Lonchura striata: one gene and its partners. The protein of the gene in region 3 binds, or shares a complex with, the protein of the main gene of each other region. Links are inferred from orthologs where the notes say so. Each region holds a gene or a part of one and is shown on either strand. Other genes may lie near its edges. The genes, in order: SGSM1, NDE1 and RAB9A.

Region 1 (7,259 bases), on a different chromosome or scaffold from region 3:
CACCTCATGGGGACCAGCATCATCCCACAGGGACCAGCATCATTCCACAGGGACCTGACCCTGCAGGGACCAGCATCATCCCACAGGGACCAGCATCATCCCACAGGGACCTGACCCTGCAGGGACCAGCATCATCCCACAGGGACCAGAATCATCCCACAGGGACCTGACCCTGCAGGGACCAGCATCATCTCATAGGGACCAACCTCACCTTGTGTGAATAAACATCACCCCGTGGGTCCCACCTAGGGGAGGGGATTCTGGCTCAGTTTTTGGGGCTGAGGTGGTAAAATGGGACAGTGTTTCCTCCTTCCTCCTGACAAATCCTTATTTCTCTCTCCCTGGTGTGTTTTGCTAAGGAGGTGACACTGATGCTTCAGGAATCATGGAGTGGTTTGGAATGGAAGGGACCTTTAAAGGTCATCTCATCCATCTGGGCTCGACAGGTCTCTCTGGGGTGTGAATTGCTGGGGAAAAGCCACACAAAAGTGAAATAACTTTCACAGCTGAGCTGTGACCAGGAGGGGATGGCAGCATCCCCAAAGCCACCACTCTGCCCTGTGGCAGTTTCACAGCAAAATTCATTGCAGTGGAAGGTGTCTGTGCAGGGCTTGCACAGACCTGGGCTCACCGGGTTCTCCCGGGGCTCTGAGGGCCTCCAGCCCTGTCTTTCACAGCCTTTCCCATCTTTAATTAAAAGAATCTACAGGAGGGAGCTGCGGCTGCAGGGCCATGGTGAGCGGGTTGCTGTGACGACGTGACGCAGCTGCCCGGCACGGGAAGCCTCTGGACACTGTTAATCCCTCAGGCACACACACGGGGAACAGTTAGAAACCTCCAGTTAAAAGCACATTTATATATTCTTTTGGTTTGTTTTGTTTATGTCTGGCCCTGGCTGCTTTGGCTATCATAGAATGGAATCACAGAATCATGGAATTGTTTCGCTTGGAAAAGCCTAAGAGTGGGTCCGGTCCTGTCAGTCCCTCCACAGGGTGGATTGAACTCCACCCTCTCCCTCTCCACTGTGGGACCTGAAATTATTGTGGCTTTAAGATGAAATAATTGTTCTCTGGACACCTCTCCTGTGAAATACAGCAGTTTTCTGCTGGTGGGGCTACGTGGAACCACAAGGATGTTCCCCAAAAAGGGGTTGGCTGGGGGGGCTCAGGGCTGGGGAGGAGCGAGCAGAGATTGGGGGGTCCTGGCACAGCCCCTCCATCACCCCCTGCTCCTAAACCTGGTGTGGCTCGCCCCGGCACACAGGTGAGGGAGAGTTAATCTCCTGTGGTTTATAGGGGATTTGTTTCCCTCCTGGCACTTTCCAGAGCCGTGCATCCCAACCCTTCAGCGGGGGAGTGGAGATGAGAGCCGAGGCTGTGGGGGCTGCCAGTGGAGCTGCCCTTGTCCCGGTTTTGGGATGAAGGGGAGGAATTCCTGCTGCTTGTGGAGCGGGGTTTAACCCCTTGATCAAAGATCACCTCCAGGAGTAAATAACAGAACTGAGGCAGCTGGTGCCCCAACAACTGTGAAAAATAATAGATCATAGAGAATACAGAATAGACAGTAGAGCATAGATAACAGAGACTAGAGAACAGATAATAGAGACTAGAGAATAGGGAATAGAGAGTAGAGGATAGATAACAGAGACTAGAGAACAGATAATAGAGACTAGAGAATAAAGAACAGCTCTTTCTCTGCTGGCCCTTCTTTTCTTCAGGTGTGGGTTACGTGGGGTGGTTTGCTGGGACAAGTGGGAGACCCCTCTGTGCCCACGTCCTGCCCCTGCTCAGGAGGGCTCAGCAGATGGGCTCAGGCACGGCCAGGGGTCTCGGGGATCTGTGGGGTCTGCGGGAAGCAGGGACAGCCCCCAGCATCCCTCGAGCACTGGACAGGGACCCATTTCCCAGCGTGAAGTAGCGGCTGTTCAAACTCTAGCATCCCTTTCAAGTTGAGCTCCTTTCTCCGTTGAAGAATCTCTTGTTTCCCTCACACCGGGCTGTCAAATCACGCCCGGGGGGGCAGAGCTGGTCCTGCAGGAACATCCATGGCCGGAGCTATTCGCACAGCCCTGCCGGCCGGAGCCGTGCGGGGTTTGCAGCGCGGGGATGCTCACGCTGCTGGCTGGGAGCTCGCTGCGCTCCGGCACGGAGCGGGCACGGCGGATGCCCAGGGCTGAGCAGAGCCGTCGGTTCGGTAGCTCCATCCCGGGCAGAGCCGCCGGGCTCGCTGGGGAATGAGCCGTGAATGCTCCCGGTGCTCCCGGCAGCGGGGCAGGGCCGCGCTGTCAGATCCATCACGGCAGAGCTTTGAGATCTCCGCGTGCTTTTAGAAGCTGCAAGGTGGAAAGAGCTGCTGGAGATGGGAGGAAGGCAGGGGGAGAGGTGTCTTGGGCACATCATGGAATGGTTTGGGTTGGAAGGGTCCTGAAAGATCAGCCAGTGCCACCCCCTGCCATGGCAGGGACACCTTCCACTGTCCTGGGTTGCTCCAAGCCCCATCCAACCTGGTTTGGACATTTCCAGGGATCCAGGGGCAGCCACAGCCTCTCTGGGCACCCTCAGCACTCACAGGGAGGAATTCTTCCCAATATCCTGCTTCTGTGCACTGCCTCAGCCACTTACTTCTGCTTTTTCCCTGTTATTTTCCTTATTCAAAGCACAAATCACTTCAGACTGAAAATGCAGAGTTTCAATCCAACTCAAATCAGATTTAAATTTGAATATCCCTTGCTTTAGAAGTTGTTTCTAAACACCATGATGGCTTGATCAGCAGAATGCTTTTATCCCACCTGCTCATCCATGCAGGAAAGTGCAGGGGAGTGAATTGTGGTCTTAAAACAACTATCCTGTTTAAGCCTCAGAGGCAGCAGTGGGAAGTTTAATTTAATTAGCATGATACTCAGAGATGTAACTTAATCACATTAAGTATAGATCAACGTGCTCTCATTTAAGCTCTCCAAGCTCCAGAAAATAGGGGCCAGTCGTCTCCCACCTGGCTTTTCCAAGGAAAAGGAACAAGCAAGGCTTGGGGGGAGCTTGTCCCTGTGCTTCTTTCGGACGATTTTCTCCCAGAGATTCTGGACCCATCTGGTCCAGAACTCTCATTCCCTTGAGTTACATTTGTGCTAAACGGGTATTTAAAAAGCAAACAAACAGCGAAAAACAAACAGAGTACATGGAAATATGGGTATGGGCCAGACTTCCTCCTGGCCCTGGAAGGTACAGAAGGGACCAGATTGGGGTCAGCCCCGAGGCCGGAGCTCCCTCCTGCTCTCCTGCCAGCCTGGGCAGTGGAGGGACCCATCCATTGGGATGCTGGTCCCTGCTGTCACTGGGGACACTGAGGCACGGCAGGAAAAGCTCCGAGGCAGAGGATGCAGCCCAGCTCCGGGGGCAGGCCGGGGGGCTGCGGGGGTGTCCCAGCCGTCCGGACCGGGACCGAGCCCGGTGGCAGCGGGGCCGTGGCGGCGGCCGCTGCCCCGGCGCTGCCGCGGTTCGTAGTTATTGGAAACTGGACTGCGGAGGAGGCAGGATGCTGTTTCTATGGAAATGTCCTGGAACAGTAAACCAGGGAAGAGGAAAACAGAAGAGATGGCAACGGAGCTGCAGGCAGGGCGCCCTCCGAGGGGCTGTGCCGGTGTGATTTGGGGAGGAGGCGTTGGGGGTCTCTGGTCGTTGTCACCTTCCCGCTGTGCCGGAGCTCACCGGAGCGGGCCCGCATGGCTCACGCCTGAAAGGACGCGGTTGTTTCACCCCTGCGAGGAACCCGCCGAGCTCCGAACCTCTGTCCACTGCCCCAGCCGTCCCCAGGTGCGGGGACACCCCCAGGGCTCTCCCCGCCCCGTGTCACCCAGCCCCGCCGCCGCCGTCCCGGGCACCTCGGGGCCGGGCCGGGGGTGCGGGAGCCTGGCCGGGATAACGGGACTCAGCTCCTGGCGGGGGGGGGGGGTGATGGCGACACCGGGAGCTGCGAGCCGGGTGTGACCGCACCATGGCACCGGTCCCGGCTGACACCCGGGCGAGAGCACCGGCACGGAGCCGTTCGCCCCTCGGGGCGCTGCCGGGGCCACCGTCGGTGCCGGGGGTACGGGGCGAGCCGGCGGTGCCGGTGACTGCGGATGCCGGGAGTGGCGCGGATGCCGGTACCGGGGGTGCCGGAGCGGCGAGTACCGGGGAGCCGGTGCCGGTCGCGGATTGGCGGCGGCGGCGGCCCCTCCCCGGCGGGGCGGGGGCGGCGCGGCCCGGCGGGCCCGGCCCGGTGCCCGGCAGTCTGCGGGCGCTGCGGAGCGAGCGCGGCCATGGCGGCGGCCCCGGCGGGTACGGCGGGCGGGGAGCGCGACCGGGGCACCGGCAGCGGGGGTGGCGGGGCAGGGCCGCACTAACGCGTCTCTTCTGCTCGTTTCTCCCCGCAGAGGCGGAGACCCGGCAGCGGCTGCTGCGCACCGTCAAGAAGGAGGTGGGTGCGGGACCCCCGGGAGCAGCCCCGGCCCGGTGCCCGCGGGGAGCTCCGGGCCCGCCCGCGGCATCCGCTGGCTCTGCTGCTGCTTTTGGGGTTCAGAGCCCCCCAACAACCAGCCCGGAGTGCGGCCGAGAGCCCACCCACCCTGGCGCGGTTGCGGGTCCCGGGGGGCGGAGAAGCATCCCTGCAGCGCCAGTGCCCGGCATCCTCGGAAAATCGCCTTTGGCTGGGGGCAGAGCACGCCGCGACTTGGGATTTTCCGCAGGAAAAAGGGGCGACTCCCGGTGCTGCATCCCTCCCTCGGGAGCGGGGATGGGACGAGCCCTCCCGCAGCACGGCGCTCCTTGGCAGGGCGGGGGGGCGGCGGATGCTGCGGACGGGGAGCCCCAAATGTGTGTGCCCGGTGCAGGGTGATGGCGTTCCGCATCTCGCCGTGCTCCCCCTTCTCAGGCATCTTTAACTCTGTTAGTTTGTGCGTTGTTTCATGCTGAGCTGCCTGGAGCTCCGTGTTTATCCCGTGTGTCCCGCCCGGTGCCGGAGCGCTGGGTCAGCGGCAGATGTTGTCGTGTCCTGCCCACGCTCTGTCCCCGCAGGTCACCTCCCGGAATGCCGGAGGGACGTGGGGGGAGAGGTGTGTGGTGTTTTGTTTCTGGTGTTACGAGCATCTCGCTCTCCGGTTTGCAGGCTCCCGGGGAGTGGAAGACGCTGCTTGGAGCCGGGAGAAGCAGACCCGTGGGTGGTGGGTCTGGGGAGGGTGACAGCGCTGCCCACCCAGACCACTTCCCACCTTTAATCCTGTGCCGGGTGTGGTGCTAAGGGATACTCCCGGTTGCCTCAGCAACGGCTATTAAACCAGGAAAAGGGCATGACATTTATTTAGCGTTGTGGATAGAGCTGCCATCTCATTATTGCTGTCTGTGGCAGCTCCTGAGTGCAGACACAGCTGCTGCAGGGTGGGAGCCAGGGCTGCTCCTGGCATCCCCCAGAGCCTCTCCTGTGCTGCCCTTCAGTGCCTGGCTTTGCTGGCTCCTAGGGGCTGGGGGAAAGTGGAGCTGGTACCTCCAGGAGCAGAGCTGGGGCTGGTTCCTGCCCTTCTGCTGGCTTTGGGGGAGATAATGTGGGTTTGGGGCAGATAATGTGGGTTTGGTGAATGTGGGTAAAGCCTGAGGGAGGGAGGACTGTGTGGGGAAAGCTCTCCTGCCCTGTGAAGTGCCACCACGGTGCTGTGAGTGTGAGTTTGACACACTCCTGGCTCTCTCTCAGCAGCCCCTTGGTGCTGACACAGAGCAGAGGCTTTTTCCTGGTGATCCCATTGCTCGGGGTGTTGGTGTGGATGTGGGCTCCCTGCAGGTACCAGGTGGTTGCCATTCCATTGGGATTTGCCTTCCACTTGCCCTTCCACTCCTGCTGGAAGTGCTGAGCTTGGACAGGGGCTGGGTCCAGCGATGGGGGCTGTGGGTGGGGGAGTTCCATGCAGGATTTGTGCTCTCCACCTGGGCTTTGCTCTGGTAGGAGTGAAAAACCTGGGGAAACATCATCCTGTAGGTTATGGAGTCAATTATTCAGCACCATCCCTGAAACCAGGAGCAGGTGGGGCATTCTTGTGCCTGTTGCTCTCTGCTCATGCTTTTGGTTTTTATTCCTCTTCTAGGCCAACCTCAGGTTAAGTCAGGAGCTTGTGCAGACTCCAAGGAGCAGTAGAAAGGGCCAGTTGCAGAAATTCGGTGTGTTTTTTTCCCCCACTCCCAGAATTTTAACCTTTCCCAAAGCTGTATTATTCTCACTTCACGAGGCCACGCCTGGTTTTGCTCCAGCCCTCAGTGCAGGTGAGCCCAGCTGAGGACAGGGACAGGCAGGGCTGTCCTTGGGGAGCTGTGCCACGTCTGTCACCCCAGGGCCATAACTGAGAAGACAAACACTGGGAAGAAGGGCTGATCTGAGCAGGGACAGAAACAATAAACTGGAATTAGCCAGGGCACGGAGCAGCCCTCAGTATTTGGCTGTTGCCATGGTTAAGGCGTTGGGTTCTGGAGAAGTCCTGTGCTGCAGTGGATGTGCAGGTTGAGATGAGCTGTGTTGTCTGTCACCATCTTCTTCCTCCCCCCCACCCCCATATGGCCACAATAAATCAAACCAACCCTGGAAGCTGCAAAACTGACTGTTTGTCAGCAGGCTGCAAGGGAAGGGGTGAAGTCTGACTTTGTCAGGCACCCTGTGTCCTGTTATGCAGGATAAGCAGCATGACCAACATTCTCTGATTTTTTAGAGCTTTTATCAGATGAAACGAGGCTTTTTTTACTAACCCAGCAATACTCAAGTTTGGAGGGATGTGAGTTTTCAACTAGAAATATTCCTCTTGTAATTAGAAATTTTCTCCTTCTTTTACAAGTTTTGTTTTGCACGGAGGAAAGTGCTGAGGTCTGTTTTCAGCTCCCTCCAGGCAGCTGCATGGCACAGAGGAAGGGAAGCAGGTGTTACCTGTGCAATCCCACCTGCACACGTGTCCCTGGAATGTCAGCTGAGTGCTGTGTGAGAGCAAACACTCATCTTGGTCTTTCTTCTGCAAAAACTTAGTTTATGTTTAACTCACCACTCAGGAAGCAGCTCTGAGTCTTTACTCATCAGTAACTGTTGAACCTGGATTGAACATTTTGCTGCTTGTTCTTCGAATTCTTTCAAATATTGGGGTTGACCACAGCCTGCTTGTCTTCTGCCAGATATATTGTTTATTTTTCAGTAGCTGGAACGGTTGTCACTGTGTAGCTGTTGACTAATTCCTCCATCATGTGTCATGGGAACAG
Region 2 (7,495 bases), on a different chromosome or scaffold from region 3:
ATACACTGCACATCTATTGAACTCTATGGAAGAAAATATCTTTAACCTGTGTCAAGACTTTGCTTTCCAAAAAATTATCTGGTATAAATAAGATTGAGTAACAGCCACCTACTTAGTAACTGTACCGAGACAAACCCAAGTAGTTCTTAACTCTACTATGGACAAAAGTACTTGAAGCAGTCTGGCAGTCTAAAAGCCCAATTCTTACATACCCAAGCAATGCCACAAAGCCCAACTCCTCTTCACAGCCCAAGTAATTATCAGATTATTGAGCAAGGAGTAAGCAGCATCACAGCTGAGTGGGGCTGTGCCTGCATACCTCAGTGCACAGTATCAGCTACACACTCACAGAAATTACATGTTATTTAAAAGGGGAGTTGGCAGCCGAGGAGAAAAGTCACTAAGCCTTAGTTTTATAACTGAGTTTGACACAATGTGTTCATTAGCCAAGGCCACATGTGTTCTTTCAAACAAATAAAAGGACTGTGTAATGTATTGACACACTTCCAGCATAAGGTTTCAAGGCCGAAGAATGCACTGGACAAAAAAAGAGGAAAAGGAGTGTGAGTAAAAAGTGATTTCCCAAATAGTACTCTTGCCCATTAAAAAGAAAATCATGACCAAGCATAATTAACATTCTTGACCTAGGATAGTTTATGTCACATCTCCTCTGTTACTTTTAAGTGAACTGAAAGTGCCTTTGATGTTAATAAGCATGTCCTTCTGCTCAAAGCACTGTGCACACACATACTGATCCTTGCAGCACACTTGTGGAGAAAAAAAAAACCAAAAATGATTTTTTTCTGACACAAGCATTATAAGAAATCAAATATCTGTGTTTGGACAGTCAACAAAAATAATTCAGGGAAGATAAACTGCAAGACAGCTTGCTCTGAAAAGCTTTCAAACAACCCTTTGGAACCAAAAGACAGCTTCAATCAACTTCAAAATCTTTAATATGCTCAGATCTGGCTTCTGTGTTTTTATATTACACTTTGGAAGAACTAAAAGACTATAGTAATTAGAATTTTTTGAGATTGTAGAGGTGCACAGAGAAGAACTTTCTTTAACTGACCCATACAATCCATAAGGCTTTCAGAGAACCCTGTGAATATTCACAGCAGCACAAAGGGGCTGCACCCTTCAGTGCCAGGGATGTCTTTGTGAACATGAGATTATAGTATGAGCCCAGTGAGGATGTCATCCATTAAGGGCTCACTCTCATTCATGGCCACCATTACTAAATAGTATTTATAATTTAAAATTAATTGTTCAACTGCAAATACATGGAAGGACAGTGGACCTGTACTTATTCCAGAGATGTGGCAACTGTCCTGTGCCAAAGGCATGTTTTTTGCTGTAACATTCAAGGAAGACCTGTTACTTTCCTTCCCTCCACCACATCTTAGCTCAGATTTTCAAACTAACCAAAGACAAAAAAATACAAACTTAAACTTTAAAGAAAAATTCCAAGTTTGAGACAAAGTATAAAAGCTTTTTTAAACTTTTTTTCTGACATTTGTCTAAGAAGAGTGCAAATAAAAACCACGTAAGTCTTGTTAAACTCCCTGTAGAAAAGGCAGGGCTGTGACTGGTTTTCCCCTGCTGCCTTCTACCTTTGATTTTTAACAACTTCAAGACAACATGCAAAATGCCAGAAGAGAAATTAATCAGGAACTCCTCATTGTCTGGGCTCACTACAAAAGCAGGGAGAGCAAAGGGGGGGTAAAGGAGATTTTAGAAATTTATTTTTAAACACTGGAAAAGGTGGGGAAAACGAGGAGGGAAAGCCAGAGTCTGTAGCAGGCACACGCTGGCTGCACCTTGCTTGTTCCAGCGCACACGAAGCCGGGAGGGACAGCTGGGCAGGCAGCACAAGCGCTGCTCACAGGCATCGCAAACTCCACAGCATGCAGGAAGGAAGCGATCATGGGTGGGGACTGGAATTTTGCAATAAAACACGGCAGCATGAGTGTTGCGGAAAACAATTTCATACCAGTGAGAGCAGAATTGCGAAATTCCACAGGAAAAAAAGCAAGTATCAAGAAAAACAACACACAAAATTATTGAAGGAACTTCAGTTTGGGAATCAGTTTGAATTCACCCGAACTCATGAGGGCCCCAACCTACATTGTTTCAGTCCTAGAACAAAGGACTCAAAACGACCCTGATACTGAACTTTTTTCTTCACAAAAGAACATGCTCAGTGAACAGTGTTGACCTACCTTTGTAGCAATGTCTAAGTCAAAGAAATTCACATTGTAATAAAAAAGTGAAACAGTACCAGAAATACTACTGACTTATCCATGACAGAGATTATAAATTTCCTATTAGACATTATTTTCCTAAATGTAAACCAAAATAAACCAGCTCTTTGCTCCCGAAAAGCAGCTTTCCCATCCTATGAAATTCAGATTTGCTTAAAATATTCCCCTTGAAAGGGTCGTTCTGTAACACATGGGCCTGTTTTCTTTTGTTTAAGCCATACAAAAGAAAATCACCACAAAAGAGAAAGAAAAGGGAGAGGTCACGGGAGCAGCAGGATTACTACAGAATCCCACAGCCAGCACTGAAAAGAGCCATCGGCTTCTCCGGGGCTTCTCTAGCAAAAGGCTGAATTCAGCAAAACCCTCCTCCTCCCCGTAACCAGCCCAGCTCCCATACTTCCAACTTCCCAGCGCCTCCTGAGGGAACTCCGCACTGTTCTGCGCTGAAGGGCCTGACCTTGGTGGTTGCAGCGGCTGCGAGCCCGGAGTCAGCGAGGCAGCGCGCCGCGCTCCATCCCCTGCGGGGCGCGAAGCCGGGCGGGGGCCCGCTCCGCTCCCCGCCCCACCGGCCCCGCACGAGCAACTCCAGAAGCAGGTTCAGGTCCGCGCGGGGCGGCTGCCGGGCAGGGTCCCGTGTCCTGGTCCCGTGTCCCCGCTCCGGTGCCGGTGTCCCGGTGTGCCGGTGTGCCGGTGTCCCGGTGTGCCGGTGCCCCGGTGTCCCGGGCCGTGCCGGGCTCTCACCGCGCTCCCGCCGCGCCCGCACGGCCGCTCCTGGCCCGGCCGGCGCCGCCGCCCCATTGGCTGCCGGTCACGTGCGGCGGGGCGCTCGGCCAATCAGCGCCGCCGAAACGCGCTTCGGAAACTTTGGTGACTTTCAAAAGCCGCCGGGGGTGGCGGCCGCGGCCGGTTCCGGGCTCGTTCCTGTTCCCGTTCCCGTTCCCATTCCCAGTCATAGGGCTATTCCCGCTCTCGGTCCTGTTCCCAGGCATGTTCCCGGCCCTCGTCAGCCTTGCAAAACCATCTCCCCCCTCCCCCCAAATCCATTTTCAACGACCTACAGTCACACGCACAAGGCTCCGCATCTTCGGAGATGCTAAGCGTGTAAACCAGCACGCGCTGTAATTTTAAAGGCGTGGTTGACCTTAAAATTATCTAAAAGAGGAAAAGCTTTACATTATTTTTTTTTTTTCTGAATTCAAAAGACCTCTGCTGCCAAAGCAAGCAGCGAGAGAGCGCCGGTGTCTATTTTTAACGCCAGCCCAACATCTTTAGACCAAAGTGCCCTTTTCCCCAGCAAGGACAGGTTTCTGTGTCGCAGTCTATGAAATATTAGACACTTCCACTCATCCCCATCCCAGCATGATGTCACCATTGCAGAAAAGGAGCGGCCTCCGCAGGGCTCCCGTGAATTCCCCGCCGCGCCCCGCAGGCAGGATCCATCCATGGGAAGGGGCCCGAGCCCTGCAGAGACTTCCCCAGGCTGCCCCGGGTGTGCTCCTACCGACTGTGCACACAGACTCGCTGATTAGTGCTGCCTGGCGATGGTTTCCGGAGCCAAAACAAAAACACAAATTATCACACGTGTATCACTGCGGCCGCGGAGGCAGGGCCGTGTGTCACCGGGTGTCACCGGGTGTCACCGAGTGCCACCTCACCCCCATCAGCGCCGCTGATGGCACCCACGAGCAGCAGCCCGGCCCCAGCTTTGTTTCCCTCCGCTGTAACACCGGGCCTGGAGCACGGTCTGGTCTGAAGAGACTCGCCTAAACTGGAAATCCGCCTCCCCCAAAGGCTGTGTAAGGCTGGGACTGTAACCAAGCGTGGATGCTTTTCCATAAATATTGCACTACAAGGAATCTGTCCATAACTCAGATAACTTTAACAGAAAAGGGTGACAAAACCTATTCTACTTTCTTGTCAGGCATTCAGCAAAATAACTATATTTTTAGGTCAGATGTTCAGCAGAAGTAAATGGAGACGAACTATCATAAAACTATGAAGAGAAAACTACATAAGGCATTTTAAAAATTGGGTTAATAGCATTTGCAGTTCTGTCATTACCAAAGAATGTTTCTATTATCAGATAAGTTGCAGAAAATAAACCACATACTATTGTAGCATGTTGCCAGTAATTAAAACAAATTATACATTGTTCACAAGTTTGGGACAAAGGACATTTTACTTCAACACTTTCAGCAAATTTTTGAGGATAGTATGAAATACTTGTAAAACACAGCAAAATTTCTCAGACTTCAGAGGAAGCTGAGACCCTCTCGTCCAATTCTGAAACAGTGAAACAGCACCCTAACAAATGCCAGGGGCTCAGAGGCACTACCAGAGGCACTACTGTACACAAGCAATAAATATTCTTAAAAAAGGTTACTGTAATCACTGTGATTGCCTTGTTTGCAAGAAGAACGAGAATACTTGTCTTTTTCAAAATTAGCAAAGGAGGAGAAATTATTTTATGCATTTATTTTTAGTTTGCTGATTAATAATTAATAACTGGCAGATCTTTGTGGTGCTAAGATTCATGTGCTGGTTATTTTAATAAGAAGGCCTCACTGATTCTTCCACAAAAACTAAGTGGACAAAAATGTATCCACTGTAAGTTCTGGTAAGGTTGTAACACCTTATCATTTCTCAATTACCTTCTGTTGGGAAAAAATACTTGCCTTTCTTAGAGAATTAAATAACTCACCACACCACCCACTCTATGGATGGAACAGGACCTGCTCACCAGTTGTCATTACCAACTATTGAACTGCTTTTTTATTTTTTTTCAAATGAATTACCGACACCCATGAATGTGACAGACGTTTTAGAATATCATATGGAAATATTGCTATCACTGAAGAGCAGGTATTTAACATCAAGAAAACCTTTTTTCTGTCTCTAAAGATGTTATATAATTTTGTGCAGTCTGTATATGCAGAATCAGATTTGCACATGCTTAAGCAAGAAGCAGATTCTCTCTGCTTTAAAAACCTTCTGATATCTCGAACTGACACATTTTTGATGAAACTGTCAAATGCTCATTAACAGCACTGGTTTATTAAGCAGAGCAGAATACAGCAGCTCTCTCAGCCTTGGCACACAGCAGTGACACCCCCAGTGACCCTGGCAATCTTGGCTGTGGCTCTGAGCTTTGCCACCAGGGCTTCTCCTTGCTGCCGGCTGCAGTCTCTTAGGCCAAAGTGCAAGTAAATTCCAGCTTAGCCTAATACCACAATTATGATCAAAAGGTACTGAGGCACCAAAAAGCAGATCCCACCCTGTGGTGTCACTAACCTCCCTCCTTGAGGGGCTCAGCCACCAGCTGAGGAGCAAGCCCAGCCTGGGTGACGTGGACTGGCTGCATGACTTTGGCCCAGCCTTCTGAGAGAGCTGTTAAACTGTGAGCCAGAGCCTTGTCTGTAGAAAGACAAGAACAGGAAAACTAGAAATGGAGGACAGGTTGTTGAGGCAAGCACTACTAGCAACACAACGATGCAAGAGGAAAAATGCCACTTTGCAAAGTGATAGAATCCTAAAGAGAGTAAACCCCAGTGACCTCCAGCGAGTTGCCAGTGCCACCACATCAACAGACCAATGACCCCTGAGTGGATGCCCACAGATTTCTTGATGCTTCTTCGGCCAGCAGACTTCAGGTGTTTTGTCAAGGGGTGGGAACACACTAATGCCTAATCCAGTGGGTTCTTAGAAGGTTGTTCTTTTTTTGTTGGCCAGTCATTGATTTGTATTTTCAAGCTGTGTACATCTGACTTGGGGAATAGCTGATGATGCCCAAGGCACCCAGAGAAAGCACAGAGACAGACATGTCTGTTAAAATAAGCAAACAGAAGGTTTCTGAACTGGAGTGACATTTAACTGCTGTCCTTGGGCTTGGGACTATAAACTGCCATCAAGGGAACAGGCTTCTAAAAATATTTTAAAGGGCATGTCCCTGACAAAGCTACCCAGATTTTTTTGTGTGTGTGAATTAAGTTTTATGTGAAACTTTGAAATCTGTGCAAGGTGTTCAGAATTGTTACTTACAAGAGCCCAATTCAGCACCCTGGTAATTCCCTTATTACCTGCCACATGTCTGAGCCGTGACCACACCTGTTCAAGTACCTGCTGGGTGGCCAGGCCACTCTGAAGGATTTCCTGGAGACACCGTTTGTTATCTTATTGTTCTTTCATCCACTGTGCAAGAGCCAAGCAACACTCGGTTTTGAGGCAAGACACTTGGTTTTGTTACCATTCTGCAGAACAGGGTGTCAGGCATTTAACACAGGTGCTGCACCTTTGAGGAAACCAGCAAAGTCTTTTATAGAAAATGGCAACAACAAAAGAATGATTCAGAAACAGGGGATTGGTCAGCTGGGATAGGGTTAATTTCTTCTCAGTTGCTGGTACAGTGCTGTGTTTTGGGTTCAGAATGTGAATGGTACCAATAGCACACTGATGTTTCGGTTTTTGCTAAGTCATTTTTGTCTTAAGGACTTATTTTTAGCATTATAGTAACTTAATTTGAGGTTATATTTCATCCTATCAAGCTCTTATTTAACCATATACTCTATTAGTTTCTGCTTGAATGTATTTGAACAATTAGTTGTCAAGGAAATAAGGATTTGTGGTGTTCTGTTCCTGGGGACTGCATTCCTCCACTGCTCCAACACCCCGCTGTCACAGACCCGTGAATGGCTCTGCTTGGAAGGGACTACAGGAAGGCAGCTGGTCCCACCTCCCTGGCTCTGGAATATCTGCAGCGAGGGAGACTCCCCAGCCTCTCTGGACAATGTGTCCCAGGGCTCGGGCACTCCCAGGGAAGAAGATCTTCCTCGTGTTCAGGTGGAGCTTCCTGGGCATCAATTCCTGCCCGTTCCTGCTGTGCCATTGCTGGCCCGGGGAGCAGAGCCCGGGCCCTGCTCCGAGCCCTCCCTGCGGGCCCCTCTGCGCGGGCACTCACGGCTTCTGCGCCGGGAGTCTGTGTGTGTTATACCCGGGTCTGTGTGTGTTATACCCGGGTCTGTGCGTGTTCACCCGGGTCTGTGCGTGTTCACCCGGGTCTGTGCGTGTTATACCCGGGTCTGTGCGTGTTCACCCGGGTCTGTGTGTGTTATACCCGGGTCTGTGCGTGTTTCACCCGGGTCTGTGCGTGTTCACCCGGGTCTGTGTGTGTTTCACCCGGGTCTGTGCGTGTTCACCCGGATCTGTGTGTGTTATACCCGGGTCTGTGTGTG
Region 3 (7,672 bases):
TTACATCTGACAGACAACATGAGCACTATTTTCCCACAGCAAGAGGATATTGTAAACATTCTCCCTCACTCAAGAAACATTCCTGGCAATAGAAACATGTTCTAAGTGGGTTTGTGTAATCATTTATTAAATAACTACTTTTATGCAATATAGTTCAGTCTCCTAACTGTTCATCTGGATGGATGCAAATGTTCATATTCATATTTCCAATCACTTCAGACAGCAAACCAGTCAAAATAATTCAAGAAGGCTGTGATATCTCCAAGTAGAAACCATTTTTTTCAACATCCTTTAACTGTATTGCCTTATACAGGTAACAGTTTCAGTTAATTTTATGTCTTATTGGTGTTTCAACACCACTGGGATTGCATCCCTCTGCTCCCTCTACTCAATCTCTGTGCACAAGAAGCATTCATAACATTGTCCCCCAAAGACTGGGAAATTGTAATTCAAAATTCCTGGTACATTGAGATTGGTTTATACACTATGATGCTCTTAGAAGTAAAAAAATGGGAACTGTCTTCCCATCTTTCCACCTCAGACAGAATGATAGGGAATTTGCACCTTTTTTAAAAAGGAAAGGTTACAGTATTATGCAAAACATGTCTCCAGCAGCCAGTACTTGAAAAAAAACCAGACTTTTACATGTTCTATTATAACTACAAAATTATGTATAAAACAATTGTCTACTACAAAACGACAAAAGACTGAAAATTCTTTCCCTGTTTACCTACAAAGATGTTACCATCCATGCTCATTCTTGGTTTTACAGCTTTCCTCCACTATTTTGTAATTTTATCTTAATTTTTTTTTCATTTATCCAAGAAGAATTAGAACTTTTTAAACCTACAGAAAAGAAGAACATGTTGTGAGCTGCAGGTATAACACTGGCTTTTAAGTGAAAGATCTCATCAAATTTTCTTACGTCTCCATCTGTTTTTCAGTCTGCACAAATATTGTTTATATCCTCTTGCAGATGTACCTATTTGAAACCTGGACAACCTCAATCTAAACAAAGCTTTCCTGGAGTGGATCACATTTCCTGCTTTCACTGAGCTCTGCATTGGCATAGAAGTCCAACAAAACAGACTGTCTTGAAAACAGAAGCCTAAATCAGTAAGTAAAAATGTACTTAAGACATATCCATCTAAAGTACATTTGTTAACTTAATACTTCAGAATGAAAATATGAATCATTTTGGAGAGAAATAAGCAATGCTTTCTTTTGAACACATTTCCTTGACAAAATAGCTTTAAAGATTATTCTTAATCATACACAGCTACCAAGGAATTAAATTCTAGCCCACTACAAGTAAAGGTAAATGCTAAGTTTCCGATGTCTTTTTATGAAAAACTGTACTGACAAATTAATATAAAAATGGAACACGTAAGTAATAAAGACATGCTTTATGAACTTCTGCAAGCTTGTCATCATTTGTCAGATAAACACTGTATTTTCATTGCTTTAACATTCTTTTTTTTAGTTAAGTCTTGGCTCTACACAATTTCTATTTGTCATTCCATTGCCAGGGCCATATTTAGATTAAGTATCACTGTTGTTGTTTTACAGGTTTTCCACTGAAAAATTATAAAACTTTTTTCCTTTAAAAATAAATCCTTTGTGTGCAGGAGAGTGCATATGCTCCTGAAAAGGCCATCCATTCTGAATGGATAAAGAGTATGATTTAAACAAATGGTACTTGTAAAATATTATTAGTGTCTGCTGACATTTCTTATGCTAAAATATGAACACTTAAAAGTGAAAGTACAAAATTTCTTAATACTTTAGAGCCTTGATCAAAGACCCATGATGCACTGGTTTAAGCAAAGGTTGAAATACACTTTAAATGAAATGGATTTTTATCTATTTAACTATTAAAACAATACTACATTTAAAAGCATGGACTCTAGCTCCTTTCTATATTTATACCAACATATATCTTATTTCAAGACATCAATGCTGCATGGAGACCAATATAAAAAATACATAAAGAATTCCCATAATAGCACCATTACAGATATCCATCCTGTAGCTTCCGAGGTCAGCCTCTTCTGTGAGTGGAATTACAGAAGTTACGGCAGCTGGGAGCAGCAGCCCAGTCGTGTGCATTTGGAAGCAGCTCACATTCGCTTGGCGTCGAAGCCAGCCACAGGTGACAGCTTGTCTGGCTGAGATCTGGGGTCAGGCTCATGCCACCAGCGGCTGAGAATCGCTACTGGAGTGTTCATCTCGGTCACCAGGCCATGAAGCTTGGGGGAGATCAGCCTGCAAATCTGCCTGTGCTCGATTCCCACGACACCGGCGTGCCCACACACTCTGTGACCCAGAATGCCAGGGACATGCTAACTCTGTGGGGTTTTCTCCAGATTCTTAATTAAAATTTCACAAGATCGTAGAATTAATTAGGCTGGAAAAGATCTGAGATCATGGAGTCCAACCTGTGATTGAACATCACCTGTCAACCAGACCATGACACTGAGTGCCACGTCCTCAAACGCCTGCAGGAGCGGTGACTCCACCACCTCCCTGGGCAGCCCATTCCAGCACCTAATCGCCGTGGTGAACAAATTCTTTCTAATTATTTCCAACTTAAACCTCCTCTGGCTCCTCATATCCGTTCCTACTACACATCCCCGGACCCGTCTAGCTTAATTCTGACCCACTGCTGTCCTGCTCAGGGGCGAAATACTGTCCCGCACAGCCGGGCCAGGAGGAAAAGCAAGCTCAGCCCTACCTACCAAAGCCCCGCTTCTCTGGGCGCTGCTCCCCGTTCCCCTCGGTCCCCAGGGCCAGCCGGGGCTGGCACGGCGCTGAAGGGCAAACCAGGGCTGCGGAGCAGCCGGCGGCTTGTGCCTCTGAGACTTTCCCCCGACCTCACCGCCAGCGCCAAGGCAAGGGCGGCGGCTCCCCGGACGCTAGTGAGGCGGAGAAGCCGCACTCCCGCTGCCCCCGGCGAAGCACGCCGCGCCGCTCCCGCACGCCGCGCCCCGGCGCCCTCACCTCCGCCGCGCGGCCCGCCATGGCGCCGCCCGCCCGCTCCCCGCTCCGCCGCCATCTCCCCGCGGCTGCGCGCCGCTCCCGCCGCCGCCGGGGCGCGGGCGGACACCGGGCGTGGGGCGGCTCCGCGTGTCTCAGGAAACAGAAACCACGTCTCGTTGTACCAGGAATGGCGTGGCCAGCAGGATTAGGGAAGCGATTCTTTCCCTGTGCTCGGCACCGCTAAGGCCGCCTCGAGTACTGTGCCCACTTGTGGGCGCCTCTCTGCAGGGAGGACACTGAGGTGCTGGAGCGTGTCCAGAGAAGGGCTGGGAGCAGATGTCCTAGGAGAAGCGGCCGAGGGAGCGGAGGTTGTTTAGCCGAGAGAAAAGGAGGCTTAGGGGTGACCTTATCACTGCCTACAACCACCTGACATAAGGCTGTAGCCAGCTGTGGGTCGGCCTCTTCTCCCACGCAGCTAGTGGCAGGATGAGAGGACATAGCGTCAGGCTGTGCCAGGAGAGGTTTAGATTGGACATTAGGAAGAATTCCTTCACAGAAGGAATGATTAGATGCTGTAATGGACTGCCCAAGCAGGTGGCAGAGTCACTGTCCCTGGAGGTGTTTAAGGACGTCTGGACGTGGTGCTCAGTGCCGTGGTCTGGCTGACAGGGCGGTGTTGTGTCAGGGGCTGGACTCGCTGATCTCGGAGCAAGCTGATCAGCACTGATCTCTTTTCCAAGCTAACTGATCCCGTGAATCTGCCGTGGGATGACCGTGGCAGGTGTATTCCCTGTGGGCTCCTGTGCTGTGCCCGTGGCTGCCGCAGGGTGAGAACGCTCCCGAGCGGGCGGCAGCCCTGGAAATAACTCGCTGTCCCAAGCAGCCTCAGGTGTGCGGGCACAGTTTCTTTCCACTGAGGCTGCCGGCTGTTTTGGGCTTGGATCTGGTACTTGGATCTGGCTGTGGGGCGAAAGGGACACCATGATGCTGCCCTGTGGCAGGGCATGACCTTCTTGTGGTATTGGTCTGCGAGCCCCACCATGCTTCTCTCAGCCCTAAAATGAATGAAAAATAAATGACATTCATGTGATTTGAAACTTTCAGTCATTATATGGTCCTTCTCCGGCAAACATGGCTAGGGAAGGCAGTGTGACACACAAGATAAAGGCTAACGGAGAACAACAACAAAAAAGTTGTAAAACTTCCTGTTTTCAATATAGTACTGTGTTGCTTTTGGTATAATCAGCTAAATGGAGCTATTGGTATACACAGAGTTAAAAAAAAATATAAAGTCTCGTAAGGTTACAGCTTTTTGATATGATGAAGTCTGCTGGACATGTCTGATTATGCAGTAAACGTCTAAAAGTAAATGCAGTTTAGTCAAAGGTATTTGTCATTGCCTTTGTTATAATGCTTTCCTCTTTCCCATGTACTTCCTATTTCATGTATTTCACATAGGTGTTCAAAATTATTTTTTAAGAGATTGCTACTTCCAGAATTTTGGCTCTACAGTAAATCTATAAATGATGCTGGGGTTTATACTCCAATACAGTAAAATGTTTGTATGATTTTTTAATACATGTTTTTGGTTTTATTCACTAATGAGGTCTGTGTTGCCCTCTGCTGTCAGTAATCTGATTTTACCTACCTGAAGGCACCAAATATGTTTTGGCAAGAATATCATGTAATGCAGACCTCTTTTTCCTTATTTTGACATAATGAACATCACCATTACTAACCACACAGAGAAAAAAAGCCTTGCATTGTTGTAGAGGATGTAAAAAAAAATAGATAAATTATTGTAGTGAACCAGTTTATCAGTGCTCATCACTGAGTGATCTCAAACCTTCCCTTGAAAGAGCTGAAATGGTTGCATTATACACTGATTGCTAATGCTGTTCAATTCGTCACTCACAGTGTGTTTGTGCCAGACTCATGAATTCACCAGCGATTGAATATGTGATGCAATGAGTAGCTGAATGCCACAGTTGAAATCAGGCTTCCTTTTTGCCTCGTCTTTGTGTCTCACACGGGAAAAAAAAAAAAAAAAAAAAAAAAAAAGAGTGGAACAAAACCTATGCCAAAGAGTTTTATGAAACCAGTGATCAAGAGTTTGAAGTATGACTGTCCAGAAATGACACAGTAACATACTAGCAGAACAGGATCAGAACCTTCCAGGTTCAAATGTGGCATGTCATGCAGGGGCCTGTGTTACATATTTTGAATTATTTCTGTAGCCTACATATGTCAGGAATTCAGCAGCAGCTCTCTTTGCAACATCCAGGAGTTTGCAGTTTCATTTCAGTTTGGGGCTCCAAGGCTTTAAATGCCAGTTTTCTTTAGTCTTTCTGTACCTGTGTGATTATGAGAACAGTACATACCGAATTCCTTATGTCCTCAGCTGAAAGTGCCTACCACAAAGTCACAGAGCTCCCTTGGCAGGAAAGCAAAAAGAGAACATGGCTTTTTCCTTGTGATTAGCCCTCCTTTGAGATGGGATCAAAATTGAGGGTGCCTCTCCTGGAGACTGGTTCCTCACTCAGAGGACAGTTTGGGCATCTCCATTAAATTGTCTTTGATCCAATGAATAAAATTATTCATCATTATTCCAGTTTCCCATTTATAGAACAGATACAATAATACCTTTGAAGTAAAGCAAATTAAAAAAATATTAAAATTATACACTCAGTAAATTCATACATATATGTATACATGTGTAATGATATATGTGTATGTCTTTGTCTCTGTATGGTTTTCCAGGATAATATCAGTGTACCAGTGATAACTTCCTTGAAACTTCAGTATTGGCTGTGATAAGCATCTGCATTTCTAGAAACATAGGCTTCTATTCAAAAGATGGAGATATTCTGGCAGCTGGTAAAATATTGAGTATCCAGAGAACTATTTGGAAAAATATTGGTCCATCATAAGGTTTCTGTAGAGAATAGTATATGCTTCAAATACGCCTCTGTAATTTGTTTGATTTTTTTAAAATTGTTACTTTTAAAGAAAAACCAACAAAACCAAGTACATGGATATAATTTATTCATAATTTTTAATATATTTTTACTTTATTTTTAAAATTGTGTCCTATCTTAATGGCATAATAGGATTTATGACATTAATTTTGTACTCCACCACTGTAATTCTTCCTGAAAAGCTTTCTTCAGTTTAATTTTTTTTTTGTTTAAAGGTTATCTTGTCCATAAGTCTGGATTTGTATTGATTTTAGAGTTCCCAGGAAAAAGACAAAATGTGGAAATGTGATTCTCTTTTTAAAAAGGCTCCCTGCCTTCTACTAGCAAGAGAGGAAAAAAAAACCCAAAAAACATAATATGAACCATGAAGCAAAGCATTATAATTAAATGAAATTAAATCGAGGCCAAAGTTGCCGTGCTCCCGCCCCACAAAGGAATAAACCAATACATAATACAGGGATAATAAAACATACAAATAACGCAACTCCACACAAAGTGTTTTGAACAGTCATCTCCCTCTATCCTTAATGATATGCAGAAGGGAATCCTATATAAATGTCATATTCCTAGACTCTGAAAATCCACGAATTGGGCCGTATTTTATGACAGATTTCATTTTGTGAGAACACTTTCAATCGCAGCATTTGAAATTTGTTGATACATGCAAAGAGTGACTTCTTGGGTGGCTGTTCTTTTCAAGAGTCACTTTCACATTTTCAGGCTCTGATCCAGTTCTGAGAAGGAGGTGGATGAGGCCCTGGATTTCCTTAGGCTGGTGTTGAACTGATGCTGCTTCTGTGTGACAAGATAAAGCCTCCAGCACTGAGCAGTGGATGAGCTTGGCAGTAATGCTGCTCAGCTCTCCTGATATGGCAGCCCATGCTATTTATTTCCACGTCTTGAGATTCCTGTGCATTTTCTGTAACACTGGAGTGTGCTGAATTTAGGATTATGAGGATGATGCACATAAAGTTAACCAGGTAGTGTTGATGAGAGATATATCCCATGTGTTTCCTGTCTCTTCCTCCTGGCATGAGTTCCAGTACATGGGAGGGAATATACCACCTGGAAGACCTGAAATTGAATTGCCAGGAAGATTATGAAGAAATTCTGCCAGAGTCAGCGGAGTGTTATGAAGCCATCTGAGTAATTTGCTTAGTTAAGCACTGAAGAACACTTCATTTGAGGGAAATTGAGATAAGCAGCTCTCTCTGTGTCCCCTTTTCTGCTATGCACAGGCAGTGAACCAGTCTGGTGTTAATGAGTCAAATATGAATTTGTTGTGGCAGGCCTGGGGTTGTTTATATACACACAGTGCTCTTGAAATAGTTACTTCTGAAGGAACCAGCAAGTAGATCAACTACAAAGTGATCCTGTGTTCCACCACTACACATCTTGGTGGACTGCAATGCCAGTACAGGAAATATGAGAAAAATATATTGGATCTTTTTCAGTGCAAGTGAGTTTCCAAAAGAAAATGCAGCCATTCTCAGATCATTTTTTCTTAGAGGTATTAGCTAATTTAGAGCCACTGACTATATCCATGTAAAGAGAATTGATTATTTTTTCTTATTCCATTACTTGTGGTGACCTGCAGTTAATTTTCATATTCCTTTTGCTTGCACAGTCACTCAGTATCACAAGATTCTTTGCAGCCACCTTTCAATTTAACTCTCTTGAACCATAAAGGCAAACATTATTATCTTGCTATTTAC

What was found.
Region 1: the proteins of RAB9A (region 3) and SGSM1 are in contact, whole or in part, in a crystal structure (PDB 4QXA), measured with the Mus musculus proteins. The link is inferred for Lonchura striata from reciprocal best matches to the Homo sapiens genes RAB9A and SGSM1. Residues at the interface, in NP_062747.1 of Mus musculus: Phe37, Thr39, Ile40, Gly41, Val42, Glu43, Phe44, Leu45, Trp61, Arg68, Phe69, Leu72, Phe76; in NP_766306.2 of Mus musculus: Leu256, Leu257, Tyr258, Gly259, Lys260, Asn261, Asn262, Tyr277, Asn294, Met297, Asn298, Gln361.
Region 2: the proteins of RAB9A (region 3) and NDE1 are in contact, whole or in part, in a crystal structure (PDB 7E1T), measured with the Homo sapiens proteins. The link is inferred for Lonchura striata from reciprocal best matches to the Homo sapiens genes RAB9A and NDE1. Residues at the interface, in NP_001182257.1 of Homo sapiens: Ile40, Val42, Phe44, Asn46, Gln59, Trp61, Arg68, Phe69, Ser71, Leu72, Pro75, Phe76; in NP_001137451.1 of Homo sapiens: Asp99, Gln102, Thr103, Ala105, Ile106, Gln109, Leu110, Tyr113.

Annotation. Positions count from the first base shown.
Region 1 is NC_134620.1:10,992,587-10,999,845, reverse strand, and holds the start of SGSM1 (small G protein signaling modulator 1), read left to right. Parts: upstream 1-4,246; 5' UTR 4,247-4,297; coding exon 4,298-4,316; intron 4,317-4,411; coding exon 4,412-4,455; intron 4,456-7,259. UniProt on the Homo sapiens protein: Interacts with numerous Rab family members, functioning as Rab effector for some, and as GTPase activator for others. Promotes GTP hydrolysis by RAB34 and RAB36.
Region 2 is NC_134618.1:9,076,522-9,084,016, reverse strand, and holds the start of NDE1 (nuclear distribution protein nudE homolog 1), read right to left. Parts: upstream 3,015-7,495; 5' UTR 2,725-3,014; intron 2,690-2,724; exon of another isoform or gene 2,665-2,689; intron 1-2,664. UniProt on the Homo sapiens protein: Required for centrosome duplication and formation and function of the mitotic spindle. Essential for the development of the cerebral cortex.
Region 3 is NC_134604.1:99,181,957-99,189,628, reverse strand, and holds the start of RAB9A (ras-related protein Rab-9A), read right to left. Parts: upstream 3,067-7,672; 5' UTR 3,056-3,066; coding exon of another isoform or gene 3,001-3,055; intron 2,971-3,000; exon of another isoform or gene 2,739-2,970; intron 1-2,738. Other genes in the region: TCEANC (transcription elongation factor A N-terminal and central domain-containing protein), read right to left, coding at 3,001-3,055. UniProt on the Homo sapiens protein: The small GTPases Rab are key regulators of intracellular membrane trafficking, from the formation of transport vesicles to their fusion with membranes.